5 linked regions of the Danio rerio genome follow. Each later gene encodes a partner of the first gene's protein in a complex. Links are inferred from orthologs where the notes say so. Each region holds a gene or a part of one and is shown in the gene's direction. Other genes may lie near its edges.

The links.
Region 2: cnot2 (region 1) and cnot9 share a complex: the UniProt entries of both Homo sapiens proteins name them as parts of the CCR4-NOT complex. The link is inferred for Danio rerio from reciprocal best matches to the Homo sapiens genes CNOT2 and CNOT9.
Region 3: cnot2 (region 1) and cnot10 share a complex: the UniProt entries of both Homo sapiens proteins name them as parts of the CCR4-NOT complex. The link is inferred for Danio rerio from reciprocal best matches to the Homo sapiens genes CNOT2 and CNOT10.
Region 4: cnot2 (region 1) and cnot11 share a complex: the UniProt entries of both Homo sapiens proteins name them as parts of the CCR4-NOT complex. The link is inferred for Danio rerio from reciprocal best matches to the Homo sapiens genes CNOT2 and CNOT11.
Region 5: cnot2 (region 1) and cnot7 share a complex: the UniProt entries of both Homo sapiens proteins name them as parts of the CCR4-NOT complex. The link is inferred for Danio rerio from reciprocal best matches to the Homo sapiens genes CNOT2 and CNOT7.

What each region holds. Positions count from the first base shown.
Region 1 is NC_133200.1:31,065,175-31,068,674, forward strand, and holds part of cnot2 (CCR4-NOT transcription complex subunit 2), read left to right. Parts: intron 1-3,054; coding exon 3,055-3,234; intron 3,235-3,500. UniProt on the Homo sapiens protein: Component of the CCR4-NOT complex which is one of the major cellular mRNA deadenylases and is linked to various cellular processes including bulk mRNA degradation, miRNA-mediated repression, translational repression during translational initiation and general transcription regulation.
Region 2 is NC_133197.1:12,453,816-12,457,885, reverse strand, and holds the start of cnot9 (CCR4-NOT transcription complex subunit 9), read left to right. Parts: upstream 1-1,270; 5' UTR 1,271-1,486; coding exon 1,487-1,504; intron 1,505-4,070. UniProt on the Homo sapiens protein: Component of the CCR4-NOT complex which is one of the major cellular mRNA deadenylases and is linked to various cellular processes including bulk mRNA degradation, miRNA-mediated repression, translational repression during translational initiation and general transcription regulation.
Region 3 is NC_133191.1:8,036,391-8,040,481, forward strand, and holds the start of cnot10 (CCR4-NOT transcription complex subunit 10), read left to right. Parts: upstream 1-1,291; 5' UTR 1,292-1,441; coding exon 1,442-1,460; intron 1,461-1,839; exon of another isoform or gene 1,840-1,902; intron 1,903-2,995; coding exon 2,996-3,090; intron 3,091-3,184; coding exon 3,185-3,346; intron 3,347-4,091. UniProt on the Homo sapiens protein: Component of the CCR4-NOT complex which is one of the major cellular mRNA deadenylases and is linked to various cellular processes including bulk mRNA degradation, miRNA-mediated repression, translational repression during translational initiation and general transcription regulation.
Region 4 is NC_133184.1:58,585,888-58,590,183, forward strand, and holds the start of cnot11 (CCR4-NOT transcription complex subunit 11), read left to right. Parts: upstream 1-1,496; 5' UTR 1,497-1,676; intron 1,677-4,296. Other genes in the region: rpl31 (large ribosomal subunit protein eL31), read right to left, coding at 236-336. UniProt on the Homo sapiens protein: Component of the CCR4-NOT complex which is one of the major cellular mRNA deadenylases and is linked to various cellular processes including bulk mRNA degradation, miRNA-mediated repression, translational repression during translational initiation and general transcription regulation.
Region 5 is NC_133189.1:34,918,124-34,922,402, forward strand, and holds the start of cnot7 (CCR4-NOT transcription complex subunit 7), read left to right. Parts: upstream 1-1,479; 5' UTR 1,480-1,636; exon of another isoform or gene 1,637-1,904; intron 1,905-2,665; 5' UTR 2,666-2,758; coding exon 2,759-2,875; intron 2,876-4,279. UniProt on the Homo sapiens protein: Has 3'-5' poly(A) exoribonuclease activity for synthetic poly(A) RNA substrate. Its function seems to be partially redundant with that of CNOT8.

The sequences.
Region 1 (3,500 bases):
AACAAAGACCATGCAGGTCAGGTAGTTTAAACGGTAGGCTACAAATGATTAAATGATGATTGGTCATTAATTAATTAATTATTCATAATCGAAAATCGAATCGAATCGTGCCTTTAGAATCGAAAATGTAATCGAATCGAGGATTTGGAGGATCGTGACACCCTTATGTAACATGCATGTTTTTTTTTTTTTGCACAGTCAAGCTACTTTAAATGAGTCCGATTTACTATTCATTACTTAAAACGGCAACTCCATTTCACGAAAGACAAAGTTAAGATGCTGTTCTTTTATCCCACATGGATGCTATGAGGATAAACAAGAGACAAAAAAGAGACCAAGACCTTGAGTATTGTGAGAAGAAATGAATGAATGACAGCTTTTAAAAGTGTCTGAGGGTGCTTTCACACCTGTGAATCGATTCAGTTGTTCCGAAATAGAGATTACAAATGTTACATTGTTGCTCTTTGCTCTTGGTGCGGTTCGCTTTCACACTGCAAAGTTTCTAATCGGACCAAAAGAGCTAAAACAAGTCATGTGAGAGTAAACTCTCCTCACATTGGTCAGAGTGTCAGGGTTTATTTTGCAGTCCCGCTCAGCTGTCAGGAGAGGTGGTGGTTTGGTGGTGTTTGACAAGGTGCGCGCGACGTGTGTAAAGAGTGAGGAGAGGGTGAGAAGGGTGCACGACGTAGCCTTTTTGAGGACCGAGAGGGAGACACGAGATTACCGGGAGATTATCATTCATTTGCGGGCATCTGGAGACTTGCAAAACTTCCCGCCCTACTCATAATTTTCTGTTCATATAGCCGTTTGCCTATTACATATCCATAAAACACAGTGATATAACCGCGCTCGGATCAGATTGCTTTCTTACTGCAATCGATCCGCTCCAGAGTTTGTTTCAATCGCTCCGAGACCACCTCATTCAAGCGATCTCGGAGCGATTGATTTGGCGCGAATCTGAGAGCGATTGGGGGTTTAACATATGCCAAACGAACCACACTAACTGGGCAAACGAGACAGGTTCCGAAGCAAAAGTGTAGGTGTGAAAGCACTCTTAGAGTGTAAGCAATTTTTAAAAAAGATAAATATAATGCTTACAACTTTGACATTATATTTCTTCAATAAATTGTATTACTTTTTATTAATGGACAGTGCAAAGATATTGATGTTTTTACACTACATCATTCGAATCTAACAAGCTTAGTTTACAATTTTTACTTTGCACTATATTAAATCTAAATCCCAAATATCAGAAATGACAACAGAATGTTAAGATGTAATGTCAATTTTAATGTTATTGTTTAATGCACTTACTTGACAGATTTCATTCATTCATTTTCCATATAGTCCCTGGTTTATCGGGGGTTACCACAGCGGAATGAACAGCCACTTACTTGACAGATTTATGTATTTTCAACTTTAGGTGGTTTGTGTAATGTTTTATGTTTGGTAAAATAATTTCATCTAATTCTTGTCCCAATAGGTGGATTTAGAAGTGGTTTTTGCAAAAAAAAAAAAAAAAAAAGCACAAGTTAATTTAGCTGGTTTTGATGCCAAAAAAATCCACCTTGTTAAAAAAGCAAAAGTTGTCTAGTGACATTTTTGAAAAAAGTTATTTGATGTACTAGCTAATGACTTTTTTATTATCTATAAAATGAAATGTCTAAACCTAGTTATAGGAGCCTGATAGAAAATGCTCTGGAGGTCTGAAGGGTTTAGAGGATTTTGCATCTGAACTCATAAATAAATAGTTAAATGTATATAATTAAGAATTAAATAAATATAATTGAGAATTCTATAAATTGAATTATTGTTGCTTAAATAATTTAGCCTCTTTCTAGTGTTTACTTTTGATTAAAATTGATAAGTGTTTTTGTTTTTTACTAATTATTTATCATTTTGTGAAATGAATTGCAATTCTACATGTTATTTAGTTTTCATTAATTTTCTGTCATTCTAAGATTTTGTTTACAAGTGATGCTTACGGGTAGTGTGTGTTGTTACAACCTTTTTTCTTTACATAAACGTATAATAATATTTGTCACATGCTTTCACATTATTGTTATATAGGTGTTACCAAATAAATTTTGTTTTGTATTGTAAACTACATAGATTGTCATGTATTTATTGTGTTTTATAGTAAATTTGAATGTGCTTTTTTCTTATTATTTACCATGTACTAGGGCTGTGCAATTAATCGAAAATCCGATTTCGATTTTAGCTTCTAACGATTATGAAAAACCATTAATCGAGATAAACGATTATTAACTTAGCAGCGTGAAAGACCGCATGCTTATGTGTGTGTGTAGCTTTGTGTGTGTGTAGCGCGCACACACAGAAGTATGCGGTCTCATCATTCGCACACTAAGACGAGCAGAGCGCACACATCTAAAGTCATCTTAATGTGAGCGATTTAATGGTCAAATAGGTGTCAAAACCCGGTGTTTAGTGATTATTCATATTAACCCTTACTTGTGTAATAAACATACAAGTAGAGAATCATTCTGCAGACAATCAAAAATATTTTTTGCTTAAGGGGGCTAATAATATTGACCTTAAAATGGGTTTCAAAATATTTAAACCTGCTTTTATTCTAGCCAAAATAAAAACAAATAAGCCTTTCTACAGAAGAAAAAATATTAGAGGAAATACTGTTAAAATTCCTTGCTTTGTTAAACATAATTTGGGAAATAGTTGTTTAAAAAAAAAATAATAATCTCAGGAGCGCTAATAATTTTGACTTCAACTGATAATCGTTTTGAATAATCGTGATTACAATTATGACCTAAATAATAGTGATTATGATTTTTCCCATAATCGAGCAGCCCTACCATGTACACATAGATATTACATGAATCATTAGGTCATTAGTATTTATTTAAAAGTCATGGAATTCTTGTAGTCAACATCTCTATGAACTCTTGTCGTTAAGCTTTTGTGACCCTTGTGATTTTTATGTGATTTTTGTGATTTTTTTTTTTTTTTTTAGTCAATGGTGAGTACATGTTCATTCTTGGGCGAGCTTTAAATTCAAATCTTAATGATGTTCAACAGGGGGATCCTACCCATGAACACCAGGAACATGATGAGCTCGCAGGTAGGGCAGGGCATGGGTATGAGCGGCAGGACCAACAGTATGGGCAGTTCTGGCCTGGGCAGCCCAAACCGCAGCTCTCCCAGCATTATCTGCATGCCCAAGCAGCAGCCAGCACGCCAGCCATTCACCATCAACAGGTAAGTCTGGACGTACATTTGGGATTTTTTTTTTGTTTGTTATTATTTTATTTTGTAATTATGCGCACTAAAAACTAGCACATGGTGCCGCAGCACGCAATAAAACAGTGTCCTTCCATGTAAAAGTAGTTTTCGTCCTAACCATATGCGACACGTGAAATTTCTATTTTAGAAACCTTATCTATTTCTGCAGCATAAACAACTATTATCACCTCAGGTACAGATTATGTGCTTTATTCATTGTTAAATGCTACCAATGTGAGTTT
Region 2 (4,070 bases), on another chromosome or scaffold:
CAGGTTACTTTTATTCTAAATCTGGGACCTTATTTCTGAAATAAAAATGAGCATTAAAAAGATGTGAAGCATCAGAAGCAGACCATATTAAATTAATTAGAATATATGTTGGCTATTGTTCATATCTAGGATTTTTCAATTGTATTTTTTTTTACCAAAGAGACTAGAACAATTCTGCAAAATTCATTATAATTGTTTTATTATTATTATTATTATTAAATTTTAACATTTTTTGGCCAAATTGTGACTAAGGGCAGTTGCGTGTGCTGGCCAGTTTGTTTTTTGTCTAATAAATGTTAGTGGGCAACAATTATTTTACTTCAAAACTTTGACAGATTGCTATTTTTTCTTAATGATACTGTATATTATTTAATAAATTTGTATTTTAAAAATTAGTCTTGTTTTATTTTTTTAATGCAATTTTTAAGACATATTTTTAGTACATCAAAAAGTGCGGTTTTGATGACATCTGACTAGTTAATCCAGCAAAAAAATCACTAAAATGCAGTTCAATTCAATTCAATTCAGCTTTATTTGTATAGCGCTTTTACAATGTAGATTGTGTCAAAGCAGCTTCACATAAATGGTCATAGTAACTGGAACAGTGTGGTTCAGGTTTTAGTGTTTAAGTTCAGTTCAGTTCAGTTTAGCTCAGTTCAGTGTGATTTAATCATTACTGAGAGTTCAAACACTGAAGAGCCGATTCATTGATGCGTAGCTCTACCAATCCTGAACCATGCGAGGCAGTGGCGACAGCGGAGAGGGAAAAAAAACTTCACCAGTACTTGCAGTATTCAAATCTCAAAGTTAAATAGAAACTGAGGCGTATAAGTGAAAAAAGTTCCACAAGGTCAAAAAGAACCACCCCTTTCACCAGGCTGGCTACGGGCATGCAGTGATGGGTTGCAGCTAGAAGGGCATCCCCTGCGTAAAACATAAACTGGATTAGTTGGCAGTTCATTCCGCTGTGGCGACACCAGATTAAAAAAGGGACTAAGCCAAAAAGAAAATGGATGAAAAATGAATAATTGATTATTATTGTTGTGATTATTATTATTATTATTATTATTATTATTATTATATGAAAATATCAATACCCTATTGTTATCATTAATCACATAATAATCATTATAACGTAATAATTTTAATACCATTATGATGAACAGCATATTTATAATAACTATAATCAATGAATTGTTATTTTTTAGTAGAAGTGAACAATGGAGTTTAAAATAAGCACTTTAAGTATAGTAGGCTACTACTCAAGAGTCGGCATGGGGGCAGCAATGAACACAGATGATCCTTACCCGCCAACAACTCAGAGAAAGAAAAAGAAGAAGAGGAGCGTAGAAGAAGAGGCAGCTGCGGAAGGCGGTTGTTTTTTTCCCCTTACCTCATTTGCTAATGTAAACCTGGTTTATTTCTCGTTGTTTTGAAAACCACTGTTCACTTTTATTCTGGAGAGCACAGTAAAGCGGTCGCGAGGATGTTGGCGACAGGAGCGGTGAGTTTCTGGACGCTTTTCGGGGTTTTACTCTTGTTTGTGCAGGGGCCTGGTAGAGCTAACGGCTAAAGCTAATTCAACCAGTTACTATGGTGATCTGTATTAAAGCTCGTTTTCGTCTTTATTTTAGACTTTTCTTTAAACATAATGTAGTGTAAGTACTTATAGTTATTAGAGAGTCATATGTGAGAAATTTATGCGAGCCTGACGTTTTCTACGTGTGCTTTTTGTAAACATAATATTAGCATAGTTGTTAAGTTAGTGTTTTATTTTTTTCATTTAAAGAACAGCATATTACATTTTACATCAAAAATATAAATATCAAACGAGGACGTATAAACAAAAAACAAGTATCCAAAATGTACATATGTAATGTTCGCAATTAAATTAACACGTTTGAGAGTCGCTGGTGCTGGTAATATATAAACATATTTCAGTCAACAAAGCCGTAAAATTAGGCTTCTTATGAGAAAAATTGCATTTCTGAATGTAAAATATAGATGACAATATAAATCGCGTTATAATTTAATAATAATAACAATATTATAATTTAAGTCAGTTAAATGCAGGGTTCATACGGTCATTGAAAACCTGGAAAAGTCATGGAAATTTGACATGGCATTTTCCAGGCCTGGAAAAACGGAAAAACCAACAAAGTTTTAGAAAAAAATCATGGAAATTAGTTTAACAGGTATCTGTATACTTAAATATAGATCAGTTGTCTTTTTTACTTCTCAGAGCTCAACAATAAGGACTGCCCGATGGCCCGGGGCCAGTGTGTGAGATGCTTGGGACAGTAGACAGGATCATTTATGCTGCCTTGTCACTAGTTTCATTTGCCTGTGACTATTTGTCAATTGCGTGCAAAATACAGTCTTAGAATTGAGAAAGAGTTTGTGTTTTCAAGCCTTCAAATGCTACCTTTCGGTTTTTCTTATCTGATTGGATGTTGTGAGCACATTATTTTTATCCGTATCAACCAGTACAGCGTAGAGACTCCAACATGGCGGTAACATCAAATGATTATGCTAAAGGAAGACATGTGTTTTTAATGTCTTGGAAGCAGACATTTACGAGGGTACACCACGACTAAAACAATTAAGTGATGTTTTGTACAGTTTGCCGTCAGTTCGGCAGGTCTTTAGCCATCCTTTGTTTCAGAACACTTAGAATTTTGCTCATTATACATTTATTAACTATTAATTAACTAGTAGTTTATTAACATTAATTTTTTTTTTAATATTTAAATTCTAGATTTACAAACATTTTGACATGTTTTTCTTTTTAATTTGTGGCTAAGAAATAGCTATTAACTTTTTTTGGTGGGGCCAGTTAAAATATTGGCAGGGCAAGTAAAAATCTGAACAGCTGGTCCGATTGGGCCAGTAGAAAAAATTCTTAGCGTTGAGCCCTACTTCTTTTCTGTCCATGGTCGAACACATGCTCTCACATTATTAGTAGTGTGTGAACATTGTCTAAATAAATTTTAAATGGATATAAAGATTAATTTATTCATTCATTCATTTTCTTTTTGCTTAGTCCCTTTATTAATCTGTGGTCGCCACAGCGGAGTGAACCATCAACTTATCCAGCATGTTTTTACATAGCGGATGCCCTTCCAGGTGCAGCCCATCACTGGGAAACATCCATACACACTCGTTCACACACATACACTACGGACAATTTAACTTACCCTATTCACCTATACCACATGTCGTTGGACTGTGGGGAAAACCGGAGCACGGTGATACCCACTGTGCCACTGTGCAGCCTATAAAGATTCATTTAAACCTAATAGATTGTTTTATGATATTCCATTATAACCTTTAACATGCATAGTTTTTCTTGTTATTTACCACGTATATGGAGACAGTACATGTAACATTAGGTCATTAAAACTTACTTGAAAATCATTGAAATGAAGGACGAACCCTGTAAATAGAATTATTTTCCTCATGGTCATTAGTAAATATAGTTATGAGTTATAGTTATGTGTGACTATTATTAATATTAATTTTGTCACCTGGTAATATAGTAACAACTTGTGAGAAAAAAAATTACACCATACATTTTGACATTTGAGTCATTAGTAGGCATGGGCTGGTATAAGATTCTGACAGTATGATATAACCTTGGATAAAAATAGCATAGTTTTGTGGTATCATTACTGCGCTAAAATAAGTGCTTTTTACATATCTGGGTAAAACAAAACAAAAAAACTTTCTCCATGCAATATATTATGTTTTATGAACTATGTCAGGGTAAATAGTAAAAATAAATCATTGACTTCTGCTCTCTTTATTAGTTTCAAAAACACAGATTTCTTTACAACACACAAAAAAAAAATACACTGTAAACCCTTACATATACCTTATAAACGATATAACAGAACATTTTAGCGGTTTTAAAGCCTTGTCTATTCCAAACTTTTAAATCGTCCCATGCCTAGACGTTAGTAGTCAAAGTAATGACTCAATGAAGGAAAGAAAAACCTATTTGTGACTTGTATAAGTGTATTTTGGTTGTGATGCTTATTTTAATAGAATGTGTCATTTTAAATTATATT
Region 3 (4,091 bases), on another chromosome or scaffold:
ATAATATAATGCTCCAACAAAAAGTACTGCTAATCTGTTATCAACATCCCATATTGAAAGTCATGTTAATTTATTTTAACATGTCAGTAGGTAATATGCCAGTCCGAAAACTATTAAAGTAACTTAAAGTAATTTCACCTAAAAGGGACAGTTTCAAGAAAACAAATATGGTTAATTTATTAAACATTCTGTAAAGTAAACTATTAAAAGTGCTGATAATCACCAGTCTATGATTGTAAGTGTTGTATTGTCGTCTTTCAGGTTGTATTTCAGCTTTGTCGGCTTTTTAAATGAATAAATAAAAAACAAAACAGCTGCTTTTCATGAGGCAGCGGCGCAGTAGGTAGTGCTGTCACCTCACAGCAGGAAGGTCGTTGGGTCGCTGGTTCAAGCCTCGAATCAGTTGGCGTTTCTATGTGGAGTTTGCATGTTCTCCCTGCGTTTCCTCCGGGTGCTCCTGTTTCCCCCACAGTCCAAAGACATGCGGTACAGGTGAATTGGGAAAGCTAAATTTTCTGTAGTGAGTGTGTGTGTGAATGTGTGTGTGGATGTTTCCCAGAGATGGGTTGCAGCTGGAAGGGCATCCGCTGCATAAAAACTTGCTGGATAAGCTGGATGGTGAAATGGGCGCTGCTGTTGCATTGGAATGTTCTATTGAGTGTCGCTGCTTGGTCATTCTAAGCTCCTTGAAGATACACATCAAGCTGCAGACCAGAAGTTCAAAGCATCCTTCTTATGGGATATATGGTAGCTGGATATATGGTAGCTGTTTTAGGATATATGGTAGCTGTTCTTAGGATACATGGTAGCTGTTCACAGTTTATTAGTGTCTATTATTTAATTTATCTTGTACTATATTAGTTAAATGTTTAGTTTATGTCTAGTGTGTGTCATATTTTTGTTTTTAAATTGCACATTGGAGTGTGGGAGAAACGCAGTTTCAGTCTGCTGTGTAATGTACTGTTGCATGGTTTGATTGACATTAAAGTTGACTTGACTTGACTCATGCTTACACGCAAAGCATAATGTGCAATTGTGCATTTTATAAAAAAGGTCTAGCACACCTACTTTTCTAACGTACTAGTTTGTAGTAAAGGGGCGAGGCGAATCTGTCATGGTTACAGGTGTTCAACTGTAGAAAGTAAGTCAAACAGGTTGTTAACGATTGTTAAACGATGACAGAATGTTATCGTATTTTGAGTGAACTATAAAAAAAAATAGTTGTAGTTTTTCCTCCAACCCGATAGATGTCAATCGCGAACATAAATTCCGGTTTGAAAAAAACACTCGCGCGGCGGTTGTGGGTAATATTCATGGCGGAATTCTGAAGCTGCTAAGAAGAGACACACCTTCTCCGTTTTCTCTCCGTCGGTTCAAATTGTGGAATTAATTACACCTTTATCTGTTGAAAAAGTGAATTATCGTCCATATAACTGAAGGAATGGCTGAAACAGGCTCAGGTAGGCGGCGTGTTTGACATACAGCGGGTCTTGCAAAACACTGCAGCTGTTCTCCAGCGCAGCCGGGCATGTAAACAGAGGATTTTACCGCAAACAGATTCTTGTTTTGTTTATAAGTTTTACATTTGTAGCTTTATAAAAGTTTGTAGTTTGGTTTACAGTGCATAGTTTGAATAACAACGTCTAAATAGATAGCTAACTGTTAATGAACTTGCCCAGTAATGCTTGTACGTTAAATGAGTTATGTTGTTTATAGTTAGTTTAGAATATAAATAATGCTTTAATGCATATTATTGTGTAACATTTAGGATTTTGAGTTAGCATTTTATTTAAATAGCTGTTTAAATATATGACAAATGCTTTTGTTTTTATTGTTTAGTGCAGTTTGCAGTCATATAATGGCTGTCAGTGCTGTCCGTGGATATTCATTGAGGTAATAGAGGTAAAGTTGGTTTTATATTTGCACATTCAGACTTTTCCTTAATAATATAATTTCATAAAATTATTATTTGCAAACTCTAAATGGCGAAATCATACTAGCAGCCAGTGACTATCAAAGTCAATTAAACAGTGTTGATGTTGTTTTTAAGTCACACTTGCATGCTAATTCCGATCGAATATTCAAAGTACCATGGTAAACAATATAGAGACTTCCAAATAAACAAATGTGCAAATATAAAACCAACTTTGCCTCTAATAGGGAGTGTGTCACAAGTTGACACCGAATTAATGTGTAAATATAAAACCAACTTTACCTCAGTATTGAGGTAAAGTTAGTTTTATATTCATTCACACATTCTGACTTTTTCCTTAACATAATTAAAAAAAAAATATTCTTTGCAAATTCTAAATATTGAAATCATATTAGACTTTTAAAGTACAACATTGTTCACAGTCAAATAAATAGTGCTGATGTTGTTTTCAAGTTATAATTCGGTGTGATTTCAGACTGAATATATTTTAATTACCATGCTAAACTATGTAGTGAGCATGTCACAAGTAGGCTAAAGAATTCTCACAGGATGATAACCTTGGATAAAAATCTCATGGTTTCACATTATTTTGATAATTGCTCTATTATTATTAAAAAAAAACTATTCCCCATTGAACTCAATATATTTTATTTTGAGAAACATTTATAATATTTTGGAGCTCTAAACATGTCAAACTACATAATTTAAATGAGTCATTGACCTCTGCTGTCTTCATTATTTTCAAAAACACTGATTTCATTACAATTTAAAATGGCATCTTTAAATATATTTTCTGTTGGAGATACTGTTATCCTAAAAAACGTAAAAAAAAAAAAAAACATTCTTACACTTATCTTAGGAATGGTACAGTAGAGCATTTTTGCGGGTTTAAAACCTTGACTTTTTCAAACCTGGTATACCTTGTAAACGGTTATTGCCCAATGCCTAGTCACAAGTTGTTTTCACTGAACGAATGTGCGAAAATAAAACAATCTTTACCTCAATTGAATACTGCATGAGTTGAATATGTCCTGTCATTAACTGCATCTGTTTTCTTTTAAGATCAATCTGGTGACATGAAGCATGACATCGCTTCATCCCCTGGGATGTCGGATTTAGAGAAAGAGGTTGCAACCAATGCTTTCGAGGCGTTTAAGGTAAATAGTTATTATATAGATGTCTGTGAAAGACATATTTTTTGTGATTATTTTTTCCAGATCTCTGTGACATTATATTGCGTTTTTCTTCCAGACTGGAAGCTATGACGAGTCTCTGAAATATCTTGACAACCTTCAGGAGCTGAACAAAGAGGACTACAAGATTACAATGAACAAAGCGGTCACTGAGTTTTATAAAAGTGGGCAGACAACAAGCAGCACCTTGAAGCAGACGCTGATGACCTTGAAGAATCAGGTATGGTATCACTGATGTCTCTATTAAGGGATGCTAAAAGTGAAGGCTTTGAGTTGGAGAGGAAAATTAAGGATGCACCAAAATGATATTTATTTTTTAATCATAGGGTTTAATCTTTTTTTAATAAATTATTCAATATTAACATATATAATATATTTTTTGAGATAAATGGCACATTATGGACACTGTTTTATTCATCTCTTTCTATATATTAAACATTGATTTAGCTTTGACATATGACATCAGTATGATTCAAATATTTTAGAAAAAAGTAATTTTTGATCAATTTATTACATTCTTGTAAATAATAGTCATTTTTATTTACCAACATCTTGTGGAATGATTTATACCATGATGCAAGAAATCTAGTCGAGTCCCGCAGCTCCCATTGTACAGCCGCAGGACTCGACTAGATTTCTTGTATCATGGTATAAATTTCTAAATTAAGTGTGGGAGCGGTCGGTAACTGTTGTTATTTGAATTGGAGGGGGCGGTCTAACAATATCGCTCTCGACTCCCGAGCGAGCACGTGTATGTATGTGTGTGAATGTGAGAGTGTGATGCTGTGTGTCGCTTGCTTGGGGCTGTGCATCTATGTGTGTGTGTGCTTATACAGACAGCTTGTTATAGGCTGTCTGGACCCTGTATCATGTAGCTGGGTGGTTTTTGCCTTTGCTCCTCCGTTCGCGAACACATCAACCCCCGGGAGCGGGATTACAAATTTTAGATCTCTACTGCAGCCCAC
Region 4 (4,296 bases), on another chromosome or scaffold:
GAATGAATCTGTACATGTGTTTGGCCATGGAGAGAAAATAAGACAACTAACCCACATTTAATATGCAGTTATTTGTTAAAGTAATTTCCAGAACTTTTTCAGATTTACCAGAACTTTTCCAAGCAAAATTCCATGACCGTATAAACCATGCATTACGCATTACTTTATGCACATTTTGGATCATTGCATACAGAAATGTGCACTTAAACTCAGAGCAGTGTTTGTGGGCACTCACATGCCGTGGATGCGCTTGTGGATGTTGATGGTGTATTCACGGGTCACCACTTCATTGATGGCCGAGCGGCCCTTCTTCTTCTCGCCCTTCTTGGGTGCCATCTAAACACACATAACAACATCACAAAAGGTTAATTACATTTACACAACAGACACACTGAACGTTTGATTGTCAGATAAAATCACAGCTAAAGTAGTTCCAGCAGGTTTAGAGCGCATTACAGTTCCATGTTACTCCGCTGTATGATTAGAGTTATTACACAGCTACAACAGTAAGACATCACATCAGAAGTAGATCTGGAGGACACTAGACATTTGAGGAGGACAAACACCCGACTAATACACTCAACATACAACATCTGTACAGCGGATTTATCTGTGGAGATCAGAGAAGCACAATAATCAGCTCCGGCAGAGTGGATTATTAGAATATAAAGCACAGCTACGCGTATTATATTACTCCACACATGTAAACGCCATCTAAACACAAACACACATTAACACTTGACGTCACTATTAACCCATAACAAACAGGTTAACCTAAATAGAACGGTCTAGATCTCTTTCTAGATACCGTTTCATTTGTAAACATGAATTTACCTCGTCAGTAATGACTGACACGCTCAACCCGTACTCAAGTGCACTACACGGTGGCCCACTACCTAGCGAACTGCTGCATTACTCTCATTACACTACGAGCATAAGCTTTAGCCATGTAAACAGCGCTTATTATGGTGAACTGAGGGTTTATTTCGGTGTTTTACTGCGGTTTTCCCGCCGGTTTTGCTCTTTCGGCTCGTCAGACTGCGGCGTTTCAGAATGAACTCCATTTAAGCTCACATCTGTGATTAAACCCCGCCAAACCGGCGCTCGCTGATCGATAACGCGTTTCTACACTCATACACAGCAGCATATTTGATTATTAGTGATCGATAAGGCGGATGATGGTGGATTTATGAAACATGAATGAGAGAACGGTACTCACTCTGTGCGCTGGATGTGGAAAAGGAAGAGCGGTGGATTATGGGACACATACAAAGGCGGAGCGCGCGTTCACATCCGGGTCATACTAACGTTTGTATCATTCTGTTCTCAACCATAACAGCATGTAAAAAAAACATAACAGCATGTATGCTATAACTATGCCTGCATGTAACTACTTTATATATGCGTGAATGCATCAAATTTGATTTAAGGCGATTAGTGTAGTTTTGTGGTCAACTACATCTCCCATGGTGCTGCGCGCCGCACAGGAAGTGCTCACGTACACCCGCGACGGTTGTGAGTAGAAGTGAAGAAACACATTCAGGTTAAAACACTGAATAATTCAAACATTAACGCGTATTATATCGCGTTTGATCGTTATCTTTGTGCTGGAGTGTCGCCGTGTCGGCCCGCGTTGAATATTCATGATCTGCCGGGAGGTGATGAACACCGCTCAGGTAAATGTTATTATTACTCACTGTGTGTCAAAACACACCGAGCTCCCTACATAGACTGCTTATAGTGAGGTTTATTGATTAGGAGAGCACTAAAAAATTGACCAACAGTGTGTTTACTTAGACTTATTAGTGAATATAGTTCATATTTTGATGAAAACAGTCCTACAAGCCTTCTGACTGAGTGTTTGACTTCATTATCCACTATTACAGTTCTTTATAGAGTGTAATTAAGCTCATGCTTCATGTTTTTGCAATTAAATGTTAATGCTAAGAATATTTTAATAATATTTCATGATGAACACTAACTTTGTTTTACTTTGTCATCTATTTATGGAGTATTACACTTATGACTGTCATTCCAGAACCTTTGCTGTCTCTGTTCCTCAGTGGTGGAATGATCTAAAAACAGGGGTTCCCAAACCTTTCAGCTCGCGACCCCCATAATAACAGTGCCAGGGACTCACGACCCCCAATATTCTGTGAGGTGGTTATACAGTTAAAGTCAGAATTATTTGCCCCTTTTAATTTTTTACATTTTTTTTAAATATTTCCCTAATGATGTTTAACAGAGCAAAGAAATGTTTACAGTTTGCCTGATATTATTTGTTCTTCTGGAGAAAGTCTGATTTCAGCTAGAATAAAAGCCGTTTTTAATTTTTAAAAACCATTTTAAGGTCAATTATTATTAGCCTCTTTAAGATATATATTTTTCTCAATAATCTACAGAACAAACCATCGTTATACTATGACTTGCCTAATTACCCTAACCTGCCTAGTTACCCTAATTACCCTAGTGAAGCCTTTACATGTCACTTTAAGCTGAACACTAGTGTCTTGAAGAATATCTAGTCTAATATTATGTGCTGTCATCATGATGAAGAGAAAATAAATCAGTTATTAGAGATGAGTTATTAACACTATTATTATTAGAAATGTGCTGAAGAAATCTGCTCTCCCTTCAACAGAAATTGGGGGGAAATAAACAGGGGGGCGAATAATTCAGACTTCAACTGTATATATATATAGTCCTTGCACACAGCAGCGCAAATATACCAGTAGGCCCAAGTCTGTTCATCGTTTAATTTTGGAGAACGCCACTCGGAGACCATCTCCCATGTTCAGTTGAGACCTGTATTTATTTTTAATCTACCTGAGTGCTGTTTATGTGTCAGAAAGTTTAACCTGATGCCATAAAATCGCTGTGCTGCATCTGACACTATTGCTGTGTCTTTAAAATAGCATAATCAGCCGAGGGGTTGCAAACAAAAAGCCATCAGGGTTTAGATTTTTGTTTGCATGTTGTGTTTTTATTAAAGTTTATTATCAACATGTTAACGATGCTACTATCAACTACTATTGTGCTCTTCAGTAGATTATGGATGAAATATGGTCGCTCTAATTGTTTACTAAAATGAATTTGATTGTTGGACATCGATAAGTGACCCCTCCTCATTGTCCCGACCACCACTTAGGGAAACACTCAATGATCTAAAACATCTCAAATCCTCTGAGGATGGAGATTAACCATAAAACTAATAATCTGATCATAAATATTAATTGAATGTGTTATATGGGATGCTAAGTGATATTTGTTTCATTTATTGAAGTTAAACTGCTGTAAACCATCTTCGCACACGTCATTGAAATCCTTGATAGTTTGTGATAAAAATAAATCATCGAAGGCCCTGGAAAGTATTGAGGTGAAGTTGTTTTAATATTTGCACATTTTGACTTTCACCTTCTTAATGTCATTTCAGAATTTTTCATCATAGTACAACACAGTTGACGGTCAATTAAATAAAGCTGCTGTTATTTCAAAGTCTGACCAAACATTCAGAGTAGCGCGTCACAACCTTTTACTGTTCAAAAACGAATGAATGTGCAAATAATAATAATAATAATTTATAATTTAGGCTGTAGCGTCGCGGTGAGGCAGTGCATAGCACCTTCACCTCACAGCAAGAAGGTCTCTGGTTTGAGTCTCGGCTGGCTCAGTTGGTGTTTCTGTGTGGAGTTTGCATGTTCTCCCCGTGTTAGTGTGGGTTTCCTCCGAGTGCTCCGGTTTCCCCCACAGTCCAAACACATGCGCTATAGGGGAACTGATCAACTACACTGGCCGTAGTGTATGAGTGTGTATGGGTGTTTCCCAGTGATGGGTTGCAGCTGGAAGAGCATCTGCTGTGTAAAACATATGCTGGAATAGTTGGCGGTTCATTCCCCTGTGGCGACCCCTGATTAATAAAGGGACTAAGCTGAAAAAGAAAATGACTGAATGAATGAAAGTAAATTACTGAAAAAGAAAATCGCACATGTGACTAAATACATTTTCCAGTTCGCACACGTCTTTTTTTAATCGCATATATTTGAGTGAAATGGTTGCACTGTCGAGCCCTGTGAGTACTGCTATACCTCGCAGAACACCATAAAGCACTATTTATTTTACTTTTATCTTCTCTGTAGTGTACTTATCTTAGCTTGAAGATTGTTTATTATAGTTTAGGATGATTGTGTGTGTGTATGTGTGTGTGTGTGTGTGCGTGTGTGTGTGTGTGTGTGTGGGGGGGGGGGGGTTAGAGTAACTCAGCATCATGACTCTGGCTCATTAAGATCTGTCTAATCT
Region 5 (4,279 bases), on another chromosome or scaffold:
AACTCTATCTCCTCCTAGAGCTTTCAAGCTATGACCACCAAACTCACACCAGACCTCCAAACTGGTCTGACTCGGGTTGCTATATCTTTTCCGACTGATCCGACTTTCGGTTTTCCGAAAAACGTCCCGGGACCATCGGAAAAATCCCATTGACTTAACATTGGACCAATCTTTGTGACCTCATAACTCTGCATCAGACTGTCCTACAGACTTCTAACTGGGCTCATTTAACTCAGACTACCTAACTGCCAATAACTGATGAGCTTTTAACTTTCTGGCCACACCCTAGCAACCACTTTTGGGACCCTAGAAACTGTCCCATAGACTTCCACTGCAAAAGACTCTCATTGACTTTACATTGGGTCAAACTTTGTGAGCTCATAACTCTACATGAAACTGTTGCACAGACTTTTAACTGGGCTCAATTAACTCAGACTACCAAACTACCAATAACTGATGAGCTTTTAACTTTCTAGCCACACCCCTAACAACCAGATGCGGCACCCTAGCAACGATCCCATAGACTGCTATTATAGAGGTTCAGACTGATATCGTCATGCTGCAGTGAGATAGAGACATGTGTTGCTTTTAACTGTTCATACTGGCAAGAAGCTTTGATACATCAACAGTCTAAACTGTCAATCAACTCCATAGCAACAAAACAGACTAACCTAGCAACGATTTAACAGCAGCTATATCTTAGTATCAGAACATCTTAGAGAAGCTGGGGTTGGCTTGTTTGACTCATGCTAGCAAACCATCTATCTATCTATCTATCTGTCTGTCTATCTATCTATCTATCTATCTATCTATCTATCTATCTATCTATCTATCTATCTATCTATCTATCTATCTATCTATCTATCTATCTATCTATCTATCTATCATCTATCTATCTATCTATCTATCTATCTATCTATCTATCTGTCTGTCTGTCTATCTATCTATCTATCATGCTAATTCATGCTAGAATCATCTTTTCATACTTTTTAAAACTGTTTAAACTAAATAAACTATTATCATCAGGCTTTCACAAGCCTGCCTCAAAGTTTGTCCTCAAACTTTAAGAATCTAGTTACAAATGTTTCTTTACAATAGTATCTTTGGATACCTTTTCTGCTGGAGATACTGTTGTCCTAAAAAAAAAAAAAAAAAAAAAACTGAATACAAATTATTACACATACCTTGTAAGAAACGTTATAGCTGAAAATTTGGGCGGTTTTAAAACGTTGACTTTTCCAAAGTACAGTATACCTTGAGAACGGCTATTGTCCCATGCCAGACAGATAGATAAACAGAGAGATAATATGAATATATAGAAAATAATATGAAAATAAACATTACCTGGGGGTTATGAAGCATAAACATAAAAATAACTAAATTGCACATCAGCGTCTTTATTTACGAACATAAAACTCCCACGAGGAGTTCAAAGGTCAGGCGTCGTGGTGTTGTGACGTCACGCTGTAGCGCTGTGATGTAGTTTCAGAGGTGGCAGCTGGTTGTTGATATCGGTGTTAGCCCAATAAAACTATATAAAAGTAAAGAACAAACGTCCCAGTCCTTTCTAAACAAGGTGATTGTGTATTACTGAAGCAGTATACGCTTTAAGTGTAACTACCTTGTTTGAGGAAAGGTAAGTCCTGACAGAAAAAAAGTCAAGTTTGATCATTCTAACAGGACAAACTTTGTGGCTAAGCTAGTAGCTAACACGCTAGCCTCATACAGAAATAAACATTCACCCCGTTCTCCAAACAGCACAATTCACACGTTACGAGAGGCTACTAACACAGTTCTTTGAAAGCTTAGTGTAGACGTGATTTCAGGACGTTTGCGGTGTTGTTTTTTCAGTTTAGCAGATTTTGTCCTAGCTGCTGCTGATGCTTCTAACCTGTCAACCCACAGTAAGTTATTTGGGCGTTTAATAGCTTAAGGACATGTGAGGCAGAATACAATAGACTATAAAATCACTTTAACGTGCATGAATATTCAAAAGCATTTTTGGCACACAACCAATCTTCCTACATGCTTTGTTTGCATATTGAAGTGAATGCTTCTGTTAGCCTGAAACCATGTTGTCTTATCTGGCACTTGTTGTAATGTTTAGTCACACTACAGTAGTTTTTTTCTGTATGTTGTAAGTATGAATCATTATTCAAATGCTGTCATGAAGCAAAAATAGCAGCCGAGGAGTCATGTTTACAAAGAGGAAGCTTAGAGGAAGAAAATCTCCTTCTGTTTCTAATCTTCATAATGCTGTCTGGAATGAAAAGGTTGTTCATCTAACAAAGTGTGAAATTTGTAAACACATTTATATTGATTTACCCAAGTGAATCATCCAGGCCATGGCAGACGTAGGATCCACAACTAAATTCACAGACAAGTTTAGTTGTTATTTAGAGTTTAGAGCAGAAAATTCAGTTTGTGCATACTTGATTACAAAATTCTCATTTTAATGACAGATGATGGACTTTTGGTGACATATATAAACCATTTAGTACATATTCTTTTATTCATTCTGCATTTTGAACACTGTTTATTTACACTTTCATAAAATGAATTTGCATTTTATTTATTTGTTAGTGTATTGTTTGTGATGTAGTAAGAATAAAGTCATTTGATTTAAATCAGCAGGCTAGTTGTAATGCTTTGTTTGTTTTTGCAGGCAAAAAGAGGGAACAAGCAACTATTATTTCATGAGAATATCCCCTGGGGAGTGTTTTTTTGGTTTTGATGCCGTGCACCTGAGAGTGGAACTATGCCCGCAGCCACTGTGGATCATAGCCAGAGAATATGTGAGGTTTGGGCCTGTAATCTGGAAGAAGAGATGAAGAGGATCCGACAGGTGACCCGAAAGTTCAACTACATTGCAATGGTGAGTTTGAAAGTCATGTTGTTTCATTTAAATGAGTCCAGTTTTATTTTTCACATGTAATCTAGGATTGTTGCTTAGCAAGTTTAAATAGTGCTGTTAATATCCAGAATGTCTACATCAGATGTCACAGAGGTGTAAGGGCATGTGATGATTGTTATACTTGTTGTTTAAATTTCGTTTAAGCTGTATGTCACTCCCTTAGCTTTGCACAAAACAAAAACACATCTTGAGGGCCCAAAAGCATTAAACTAGATAGGCCTGTGTAATTCAAGTGAAGAAAGAAAAAAACAGTTTGTGTTTTTATAATTACACATGCATTCTGGGATCGAATGCTTCAAATAGACAGCCTTTTCAGATCATTTTTAATGCAACAGTTTGCTTTATACCCAGCCTGTAACATCGGTATCTATACATTTTCTATACATTTTTATCAATTTTATTTTGCTATACATGAAAAAGTTAAAAAAAGATAGTTATGGTTGCATAAAATGTGTTTGTATTTTTATAAAAACAAATTCAGAAGCATCACCTGAGCTGTAATGTTTCAGAAAAGACCAGAGGCATTGTCACCTGGCCAAATGTGAAACACTTGTGTTGTCATCAAAGCTTGTGCAGTAACACAAGGGAAAGGGAAGGAGGAAAAAAAACTTGACATCGGTGTAGTCTCAAGTTGGATAAAGTAGCATTCACTGCTTTAAGTCAGATGCTGTTCAGTATGTGCTGCCCTGCAAGTCAAATACACAGTCACATTTAATTTTGAAATAAAGCAGATTGCAGTTTTAATTGCATTGCTTAAATCAGTGGTTCCCAAAGAGGGGGTTGGCACCCCCTGGGGGGGTGGGGAGGGGTCGCAGGACAATGTGGGAGAGCCGCTTGATGATTTCCAAAAATTGATTAAATTTAAATAAACTATTAGAATTACTATATTTTATTCATAATCTACAGAGCACACAAATAGTATTTAATAGTTACATTAAACAACATGGGCAGCATGGTGGCGCAGTGGGTAGCACAATTGCCTCACAGCAAGAAAGCCGCTGGTTCAAGCTCCCACTGGGTCAGTTGGCATTTCTGTGTGGAGTTTGCATGTTCTCTCCGTGTTCGCGTGGGTTTCCTCCGGGTGCTTCGGTTTCCCCCACAAGTCCAAAAACATGTGGTATAGGTGAATTGAGTAAGCTAAATTGCACATAGTGTATGTTTGTGAACCCAGTGATGGGTTGCAGCTGGAAGGGCATCCGCTGTGTAAAACATATGCTGGATAAGTTGGTAGTTCATTCCGCTGTGGCGACCCCAGATTAATAAAGGGACTAAACCAAAAAGAAAATAAATGAATGAATTAAACAGCATACAAATAAAAATCTGCCTTTTTGTTTTGTTTTTTCTTTCATTGGATTGAGACTCCTG